Ovis aries: one gene and its partner. The protein of the gene in region 1 interacts with the protein of each later gene in a biochemical or structural test. Links are inferred from orthologs where the notes say so. Each region holds a gene or a part of one and is shown in the gene's direction. Other genes may lie near its edges.

Evidence for each region. The genes of interacting proteins can lie anywhere in the genome.
Region 2: the proteins of UBE3A (region 1) and UBE2E1 form a complex in vitro, tested with the Homo sapiens proteins (2 studies listed by BioGRID). The link is inferred for Ovis aries from reciprocal best matches to the Homo sapiens genes UBE3A and UBE2E1.

Annotation. Positions count from the first base shown.
Region 1 is NC_056071.1:1,613,212-1,617,887, reverse strand, and holds the end of UBE3A (ubiquitin-protein ligase E3A), read left to right. Parts: intron 1-257; coding exon 258-401; intron 402-1,379; coding exon 1,380-1,500; 3' UTR 1,501-3,306; downstream 3,307-4,676. UniProt on the Homo sapiens protein: E3 ubiquitin-protein ligase which accepts ubiquitin from an E2 ubiquitin-conjugating enzyme in the form of a thioester and transfers it to its substrates.
Region 2 is NC_056079.1:41,468,339-41,474,160, reverse strand, and holds the start of UBE2E1 (ubiquitin-conjugating enzyme E2 E1), read left to right. Parts: upstream 1-2,105; 5' UTR 2,106-2,268; intron 2,269-3,163; 5' UTR 3,164-3,196; coding exon 3,197-3,348; intron 3,349-5,822. UniProt on the Homo sapiens protein: Accepts ubiquitin from the E1 complex and catalyzes its covalent attachment to other proteins. Catalyzes the covalent attachment of ISG15 to other proteins. Mediates the selective degradation of short-lived and abnormal proteins.

The DNA of each region.
Region 1 (4,676 bases):
TTGTTTCCTTTTGTTGTTGCCAGTTTTTACTGTTGCAGATAATGTAGCAACGAACAAAAGCTTTTATATTTTTGAAAATAGTTTTCTTAAATTTGCATGAGTGGAAGTCCTAGATCCCCAGAAAAGAACCTTCAGGCTCTTGATATTGACCTCCAAGTTATCTCCTATTATGGTTTTAATGAAAATCACAGATTTAAATTAGTGCTAGCAATAATGAATGCCAAACTAAAATCGGTATTTTTATCTTTTCTCATTAGGGAGTTCTGGGAAATTGTTCATTCATTTACAGATGAGCAGAAAAGACTCTTCTTGCAGTTTACAACAGGCACAGACAGGGCACCTGTGGGCGGACTAGGAAAATTGAAGATGATAATAGCCAAAAATGGTCCAGACACAGAAAGGTAATTATTAAATTGTGACTATATATTGAAAACCTTGGCTTCCATATTATTACACATGTGTGATCTATCCAGAAGCTTCTGAGCACATTTGCAGTTTTTAATAGAAATTTCCAAGTCACATAAAATGTTAGTTTAGCCAGTGCTTTGCTGCTAATGTTCAAGAAAATCTTTACACACTGGGCAGGTTAAAAATTACAGAGTTCACTTGATTTGAAATTTTATAAATTGGTATGATTCTTAAAGTTTTCGGTTGAGAATTTTTTAATTGAAAGCCATATTAAGTCATGTATTTAGAATAGTCAAGTTGAAGTTCACAAGATTGTTCAGCCCTAGATTATGCTAGTACCACCAATTTCAGTGTCCTTACATTAGTCGTGTTTCCTCTATTGTGTGAGTTAACATTTGGTGTGTAGTGGCCATATATGAGCAGTAGTATACTTAATAATTTAAATGCATAGAAACATTTCTTTTAGTGTTCTACATGATTTGATATTAATGTAAATTTATTTATTATCAAATCAATTACATAGTCATCCAGGAATATTTCAAATAAGCACTAAAGAGCCCAGACTGGAATTTTAGAACTGAGATTTGAATATTGTCTCCACTTAATGTCACTACTTAGTGATTTCAACTCTACAGTGGGGAAACTGACCATCTGTAGGTTTACTGTGAGGAAGGTTAGTTAAATGAGCTCTCTGGATTAAGAACCTATTAAAACAGTATCTGGTATGTGGTAATAACTTTGTGGATGGAATATGTTATTGTCAACCATCATCATTATTAGCACTGAGTAATTTATGAGGTAAAGACAAACTGCTGTTTGGTAGCTGTGTGGCAAAATCAAAGTTTATGACTTGCATTAATGTGTAGTGTGCTTTGCATCTCAATGTATATACCATCTAAAGTAGGATCATTTAGTACTGAGCGTATGTCCCATGACTTACTTTCCTGTTTTTCCCCTTTCTCTCTATATAGGTTACCTACATCTCATACTTGCTTTAATGTCCTTTTACTTCCGGAATATTCAAGCAAAGAAAAACTTAAAGAGAGATTGTTGAAGGCCATCACTTATGCCAAAGGATTTGGCATGCTGTAAAAAAAAACAAAAAATGGAAAGAAAAAGAAAAGAAAAAGAAATTTAAAATTTTAATAAATATAACGAGAGGGATAAAATTGGTGGTGATAGTGTCCCAGTACAAAAAGGCTGTTAAATAGTGAACCACAGTAGTCACCTATGTCTGTGCCTCCCTTCTTTATTGGGGATATATGGGCTGGAACAGCAGATTTCAGCTACTTATATGAACAAATCCTTTATTATTATTATTATTTTTTTTTTTGCGTGAAAGTGTTACTTATTCTTTCACTTGTATGTACAGAGAGGTTTTTCTGAATATTTATTTTAAGGGTTAAATCACTTTTGCTTGTGTTTATTACTGCTTGAGGTTGAGCCTTTTTGCATATTTAAAAATATATACCAACAAACTACCCTCCCAAGGAAAATATTGCCACCATTTGTAGACCATGTAACCTTCAAGTATGTGCTATTTTTTTTTGGTCCCTGTATCTAACTCAAATCAGGAGCTGTATTTTCTTTTTTTTTTTTTTTTTTTAAACAATTTGCTTTTGAAACTTGGAAGTCTTGAAAACAGTGTGATACAATTGCTGCTGTTCTAGTCCCCAAAGAGTCTTCTGTGCAAAAATCTTAAAATCAATAAAGATGGAAGGGAGAACTTGGAATGTTTAACTGCAGCCCTCAGAACTTTACTTTAGTAACAGCACAACAAATTAAAAACAACTCATGCCACAGTATGTTGTCTTCATGTGTCTTGCAATGAACTGTTTCAGTAGCTAATCCTCCTTCTTAGTATATGGAAGGACAGGGATTTGTTGTTGTTTTAAGTTTATTGGGGAAAAGTGCATTTGGCCAAAAGAAATGATAGTCAACCCCTTCGCAAGAAAGATAAGTTTGTTGTTTATTATAAGCGTAAAGCATGTGAAAGTGCACTTAAATTTTTTATTCTTTGCTTATTAACCACATTTTAGACAATCCAAAGTCTTCCCTTCTTGTCGCCATCATCTTATCCAGCCAGCCGTTTTATCAAGGCACATGATCAGTGTTGGAACATAGTGGAAAGAATGGCTGTTGTGCCTTGCTTTACTTAATCATACAGTAAGCAGAGACTTGGAAATGAATGGAACTGTCTTTTAAGTCCTATTTACATCGTCTGTCCCCAAAGATTAAAGTTTATTTCAAAAAGTGTTAAATACTACTTTCACGTACTGTGGAAAAGTACAGGTAGATTTAAATTACTAGACCTTCAGAAGTAAGTAGTTTCCCCTTCTAGTCTTCTGTGTCTGTGATGTTTATTTCTTTTATTGCGATATAAAATAAAAGGATTATGTATTTTTAACTGAGGAGAGACATATTGATATATCATTTTGCTACAAGTTACAGCTCATGTGCTGAGCTTGTACCTCGATTGTTTTAACTGACCATGACAGATTAGTTTGATGATTTGTTTGAAATTGGCAGGAAAAATACAGCTTTCAATCATTGGAAGGGGAAAGAGGATGTCTTTCAGAATTATTTTAGTTCTTTTAGTAATTGAGACTTAACTGTTAATGTACCATAATGCTAAATAAAACAGTGACATTTTTCACAATAATTTAGTGGGAAAAGAAAACATTACTTTCCATATTGTGATAAGGCAACATGGGGTTTTCTGGGCCAGCCTCGAGAACACTGTTAAAAATATGTACACTACCTGGATTCAAGGGACCCTCATGCTACGCAGTCACCTGAAAAGGCCTCTCATTCCTGTGCTTCTTGTGTATAATGAAAGTGAGAATACGAGAAATCAAATACTCTGGGGGCTTTTTGTATAATAAATTCGTGAAGAAATTTGTGTTCTTCAGTTCTCAAGTTTTATTATCACTGCAGTCTTGAAGTTATCCAATTGTAATCACATCTGTGTGAAGTTTTTGAATGGTCATTGAGTACAGATCTTCAGGTATAGAATTCATATCAAATAGACTTCTAACAAACAGTTAAAAATAAACCTACCCTTGAAAATATTCTAAGAGAAAAGTTCATTGGTTGTCCAGACTACTTGCTCTCACTTGCTCAGTTTCTGTTTGTCCTGGGCATTTTACCACTTCTTTTCTCATTGCCTCCTTTCCCCTACTGTCTACAAAATGTTCCCTGAATAGTATCTTAAGAGGGAACAAATAGAAATTTTGACTATAGTGGTTACTCCCTCTATCCCAGATGTCGTGTTATAAAGTACTCTTTGTCCCAGATGACCAGGAAACTCTGGAGGAAATAAAAAACTGAAAACTAATTGGTGTTCCAGGTGAAATACACAGTTTCTCCTACATATCATTGTTACAGAATATCTCAAGCATACAGTAAAGACAGGGACTATGACCAAACTTTTATGGAGCCTGGTAGCTTTGGCCAATGAATTGGATTTCCTACCCTATACAACTTTACTGGGCTCTGCTTAATTGTGTGATAAAATCCAACGACAATTTCTATAGCTTTACTTTGGGATACATACTAAGGAGGGAGATACGTGAAGTCAAGCTTCAAACAAAACTTGCTGATGGTATTCATTCCCCTATCGGTACACATCCATCTTACTAGAAAGGAAGGATGAGTGTAACCTGGCAGCATCGCTCACTGTAAGAGCAAGACTGTGCTGGGATTTCAGGCCCTTTCAAGGGCTTTTCTCAAGACTTTCATGCAGACTCAGGAAGGGTAGTCTTCCTAAGTGAAAGTGAAGTCGCTCAGTCGTGTCTGACTCTTTGCGACCCCGTGAACTAGTAGCCTACCAGGCTCCTCCCTCCATGGGATTCTCCAGGCAAGAGTACTGGAGTGGGTTGCCATTTCCTTCTCCAGGGGATCTTCCCAACCCAGGGATCTAACCCTGGTCTCCCGCATTCCAGGCAGACGCTTTAACCTCTGAGCCACCAGGGAAATGCCAGTGTTCCTAAGGTTACTCCATCTGTAGTCATGATCCCCTTAACCCGTTTACCTTAGGTATCTTTTTTTGACCTTCCACCAACCTCTAAGGACCATCTCTTAAACTCCTGCCCCTTCCCTGAGCCAATAGAGGATTCAAAATGCAACTTCTTTCTCTTTCCTTCTTTTACCCACAGTGTTAGTGTATGGAGAATTTCCTGGGGGAGTCTAGAGAAAGTGCAGAGTCTCAGTCTTTTACTTCTTTACTGTTCATATCCAGTAGTTGGCATTTGTTAACCAATTGCAGG
Region 2 (5,822 bases), on another chromosome or scaffold:
TTCTTAACATTTTGAGGTTTTTATTCCCCCTACGGCAGGCAGGTCATTCCTGAACCCGTAAAGCACTAACCAGGGTTAGAGATAAGAAAGACACAAAAGAGAGCTAGTGTCCCTCCAGACTGGTGGTTGGGAAGGCACTCCCCTATGGAGGGGCCCTTCCATTGCATGATTTATTTCCCCAGGGCCCAGTGTAATCTAAGCATCAATGAAACACAAAATACCATGTTAGGTTTTTTTAAAAAAAATATTATTATAGTTAGTATCCAAACATATGATTTACGCAAACCAAAATTAAAGAAAAAACTCAGCCACCATCCTAGTCATGTGAGCACTTCAAACCTTTTCTTTTCCTGCATTTTTTACTGGTTGTACTCACCCTGTTCAGTTCAGTTCAGTCGCTCAGTCGTGTCTGACTCTGTGACCCCGTGGACTACAGAGCGCCAGGCTTCCACGTCCATTACCAAAACTCTTGGAAATTGGTCAAACACATGTCCGTCGAGTCGATGACACTGACAGTGTAGATATGTATTTCAAAGAATCAGGAACCCAAATTTTTGTTAAGAGGAAGTCTCAGTTTTAAGAACTATCTTCAGATTTTTTCATCCCTACTGAGTTCATGTTTGTTTACTGTTTTCCCTTAAATTTATATCTTTTACATCCAAAGTACATGTATACAGCCTGGTTTTAGCAGATTCTTTTGGATTGTTTTCATATAACATACAGCAGAGAATGTTATTATTTTTATATGTCTACTAGGACTCCTGAAATCAAACACACATCTGGGATCTTTTCAAAATTTCTAAGCATCTGAGTGACTGAGGGATTGCTCTGTCTGGAGATAGGAGGCTGAAATGATGACCTATATGTATTTTCTTTCTCAGCTTTTAGACCCCTTGATTCCATGACAATTCTTGGTAGGTACATGTTTCCTGGTCCCTCACAATTACTTTATGAGTCTTAATAAAGTTGGAGTTTCCTGTTGAGGGCTCGGAGGGGTTTAGGTGGGTGGTAAGAACGCTTGTTTTCCTGGTTAGCGGATACGCCTCGGGCTTTATAAATTGTGTTGTACTGTGGTAACTGCAGCCACACTGCTGCCATGGGAAAGGACGGCAATTTGGATGAGATAATTCAGTGGCCCATGGAAATCTGACTGGACAGTGGCTTAATGTACTACACTTCCTACCTGTAACATCATACCTATTTCTTCAATTTCCTTCAATTGAAATGAGGAATAAATGTGAAACATAATCAATTTGATGGCTTGAAAAAAGTAATCTTGTTAAGAATACTAAATGAACAATTCAGAATTAGAGGGACTTTTAGAAAAATTGTATGATTATTTGAATGGCGTTTGTATTGTAGCTGAAGAATGTACAGCGGTCCCCCAAACTTTTAATCCAAATTCTGACACCAAAAATTCTAAATCCAGTCTAATGCAGTAGTACAGAGTGTATTCCCATTGATTTCTCACATTCGTGAGACTGTCACACGTTGGTTGGTTTTTTCTGTCACGAAATTCTTTGTATCACTTTTAGAAAACACCACCTCTGTCTATAAAAATGACTGGAAATACCTAAAATTGTAAAACGGCACGTGTCTGGGCAGAAAAGTCCCGTTCCTCACAGGCGAGCCTGCACCTACTTCTGCTCCTAGCAGGTAAACCGTCAGAGGGAGAAGCCAGGTCAGCCCATAGGAAAGCCTGTCGTGGGATTTCTCATTTCCCCTTAGGCTGATCACTTTTAGGAGCAGTTCCCGGGGCCATTCTCTCGTCCAAAGTCCTGGCTACCGGATCACCTGTTGTTTTTTTTTTTAAACCAGTCGGCCACCCTCGAGTCTCCCTGGCAAAAGCCCCTCGCGGGAGGACTTCCTCAGGTCACCTCCCCACTCGGAGCAGTTCTCGGCACCCGCACCCACTCCCAGCGCGGGCGGGGGCGGGGGCGGGGTCCCCAGGCCACGCGAGACCTCGGCCCCCCGCCCGGCGCCCGAGGTGCTGAGGTGCGCGCTGGGGGGAGGGCGCGCGTGCGGGGGGAGGGGCGCGGGGCGGGGCCTGCGCGGGCGGGGGCGGGGCCTGCGCGGGGCGGGGCCTGCGCGGGGCGGGGCGGGGCGCGGGCGAGCGTGTGTGGCGGGGGAAGCCATTGCCTGTTTAATAGTTGCTGCTGCTGCACTTCCGCTTCTCTCCCGGCGAGAGAGAGACACGAGTGGCCAGGCCCAGCCGCAGCCGCAGCAGCAGCCGCCGCGGCGGCACGGAGCAGCCAGACACAAAGAGAGGTACGGGGATCCCCCGCGCCGCCCGCCGGCCCCCGGCCGCGCCGCCGGGCCTCGGGGCCGCCCCTAGCCGCCCGGGCGGCCGCCGGGCGCGGGGCCGGGGCTGGGGGACGGCGGGGGGCCGGGCCCGCCCGCGGGGGGATGGGCGGGGACCCCGGGCCGCGTGGGGCGCGAGGGCCGCCCGCGGCGGGGGCGGGGGGGGGCTGCCGGGGCTCGAACTGTCAGCGCGGCCACGGGGGGCTCCCGGGGCCGCCGAGGCCCGTGGAGGGGGAGGGGAGGGGCGCCCCGTGTCCCCGAGGCGGGGGCCCGCGGGGCTAGCTCCCCAGGGCGGCCGCGCTCATTGTTACCCCTCCGCCGGGGAGGCCCCGTACCCCGACCCCGGCGGCGCCCTTGCCAGTGCTGGGACCCCCGCCCGGCCGCGCCCCCGGGGGCCGGCCCGGGACTGGGGGGGGGGGGCCTGGCCTCGGCGCCCCCGCCCGCCGCCCGGCTCCCCACCACCCACCGGCGCCCGCTCCCCGTCCCCGTCCCCCCTTTCGGCTTCCTCCCTCGCCCCTCCCCGGCCTCCCCGCCCCGCCGAACTCCGTTCCCGGCCCCCGCGACCCCCGGGGGCCGCCGCACACCAATCGAGGCCGGCCGGCCCGGCCCCCGCCCGGAGGGGAGCCTCGAGGGCGGCGGAGGGGCGGCGCGCCGCGCTCCCGGCCGGTCCCCACCGCGGCCCCCACTCGGGGCCAGGAATATAGACAAACAGCCCGCGTCCGACTCGCAGAGGCCGTGATGGGCCTGGAGATTCGGGAAAGCGCGTGGAGGGCGGGGGGGCGGCCGGGGCCCGAGCCCTCCTGACAGCGCCCGAGTTCCGTGTCTACACCGGCCTTTCTGTTTTGTCTCCCTCCTCCTGCAGGGGCTGTTTGCGGGGTGGGGCGGGGGGTTCGCTATGTCGGATGACGATTCGAGGGCCAGCACCAGCTCCTCCTCGTCTTCGTCCTCCAACCAGCAAACTGAGAAAGAAGCAAACACCCCCAAGAAGAAGGAGAGCAAAGTCAGCATGAGCAAAAACTCCAAACTCCTCTCCACCAGCGCCAAGAGGTACCCAAACCCCACCCCCGCCCCCCAAAGCAGGCTTCCTATTGCCCGCACGGCCTCCGGTTGCATTGGGTCCGCTTCCAGTGAGGGTAGCTTACACGCTCCTCAGGGCTTATGTGTTCATAAAAAGGGAAAAAAGGACCTTGAAAGCCCGAATTATTTCTCTCTCTTGCTGCTTCTGTTTTTACTTCTGATCATTGTCTCCATGCAGCTGTTGTGGCTTGCCTTCCCCGTATCTTGCTGCAGTTTGTAAGAATCCGCATGAGTGTTACTAGTGACCTCCAAATCTGATTTCAAATTATTTGTCCTGTTAATCACTAATCTGTGACCCTCCCCAAGACTGTCATCCCACTTAATTATTAATACCTGCCCGGACAGCTCTATCACGACGATTTCTATCTCTGTCTTACTGCCTTCTCACCTGTTGCACATAGGATCTCTCTTTGAATAGTGCTTTCTCCACACATGGCGTAAGGAATAACTAACTCACGTTAGCAGAGTGAAAAATTTAATAGATGGAGATGGATGTTTTCAGATGGGATTTAAAGAGATTTTTCTGATTTAGAGAGTTGAGGCAAATTAATGAGTCAATAAGTGATGTAAATTAGTTATTCTAGGCTGTTTTGGGGATTCTTTGTGTTTTTTTGAGAACCTCCACTTAAATTTCCGGGAAGCTCAAATTTTTTTTCATGCTGTTTTCTTTTATGCTGTAAACAAAACAAAAACACTTTTGTCAACACAAGTTGAATTCAAGCAGTAGCTCTTTTTCTTTTTTCTCTCCCTCTTATGTCTCTGATAGAAGTTACTTTTAATCTCCATCATCCTTCAGTAGTATCCTCTGATCCTCACGAGCCTTAGTCTACAGCAGATTCCTTGGAGCCTCCATTCCTTTTCATAAATCCGGTTGTCCAGTGTACAGTCATTAAACTTTAAAGTGGCAAACCAGGAAGATAATAAGGAATTGAAATGGTAGCTTAGGTAAAGATGTCTGTCTTAAAAGATCGTTAAAAAAATGGAACAGGAGGCTTTAAGTCTCTCCACTGAGTAGTGAGCCAAAACTTTTAGTTAGAAAGTTTGTCCTGTCATTTTCCCTGAAATTTGGAAAGTTGATAAAATGCTTTGGTGACCTAAGCACAGGAGATGAAGAAAAGACTCTGGCTTACTGTAAACAGTGTATATGTGTAGAGTTACGTGGCAAGGTGCCTTGGCAAGATTCTCATTTTCAGCGAGGTTGTTTGATCGCATCTCAGCTTCCCAGGAGTCCTGAGCGGCCCTCCGCTATCAGCCCTGTGCTGGTTCTCCCCAAGCCTGGCATCTCCCCTGCCTGCTTTGGATGGACCCTTCTCTTCATTCCCCCTCCCTTTTTCTGGGCTCTCTGATCCAAGCTGAGGGCAGCTTTTGGCCTGACCTAAGGCAGAATATTTGCGTTAGTTCATTAGCACTTTTATATTTTGCTGGATTACCCTAGTGTCCAGGAATATATTTGGGGATAAAGGCACAGGTGTCAAATATAAAATTGTCTGCTTTATGTAAGCAAATTAGAGACAGTTTTTTTTCTTCATTAGACACAATTTGTCCATTTATGCTACGGGAGTTAAAAACTCATTTGGAAATGCCTGGGAAAGAGATGGTAGGTGTAAAATAAATGAAAGGTGGGACGCTTCCAACAGTAATTTTATCAAATTAACATCAGCTTTAGCTCCCTGGGAATCTTGCTGAAAGAGTGGCTGTTACCATAAAGCAGAGCTGTGGTTAATAGTAAAGGTGAAAAAACAGAGGAGGCCTCATATCCACAGAAGAACAAGGGGAAAAGAGGTCACTGGGACCCTGTAGCTGCTGGTCTGGGAAATTGATTTGGAAGGTAGGAATAGAATTGGGATGGGCACATATACTAGGAGATGGAAAGAAAGAAGCCTGAGTTGGCCCACAGAAGGTTACTGAACTGCATATTAGAAGGAAGCTGTTGGTTTTTAGTCCACAGCTGAAGGAAAAGCCCCCACTGCTGGTGGACTGGATAAGAAATACTCCGTGGAACATGTGTGGATTACTCTTAGAAATCTTTTCCCAGTATTCTAGAAGTAGTATGAATGTTTGCTGTAGAAATGAAGTGGATAAAGCTGTCTGGTATCTTTTTTAGGTATTAAAGAAACAGCTCCCTTTTCGGTGAATATTTTATCAGAGAGATTGGATTGACAAGGAAAATTTATACCAGTTGTGCTTAGGGGGAGGTGATTTTTGCCCCTGTACATAGGCCTTAACGTACACAGCCACTGTAGTAGATGCAGGTAAAGAAGCGGGAATCCCAGGATCCCAGCTTTGCCTGACATACAATAATGAGTCAAACACCAGGGATGCCAAGGGCCCAGAGCTGATAGATGATTGACAGCAAAAGAATTGAGCAGGACACAGATAAGTAGACACCAGAGATAGCAAAGCCCTTTCTACAGTGAGCCAGATTTGCAGGGGACAAATGTCCT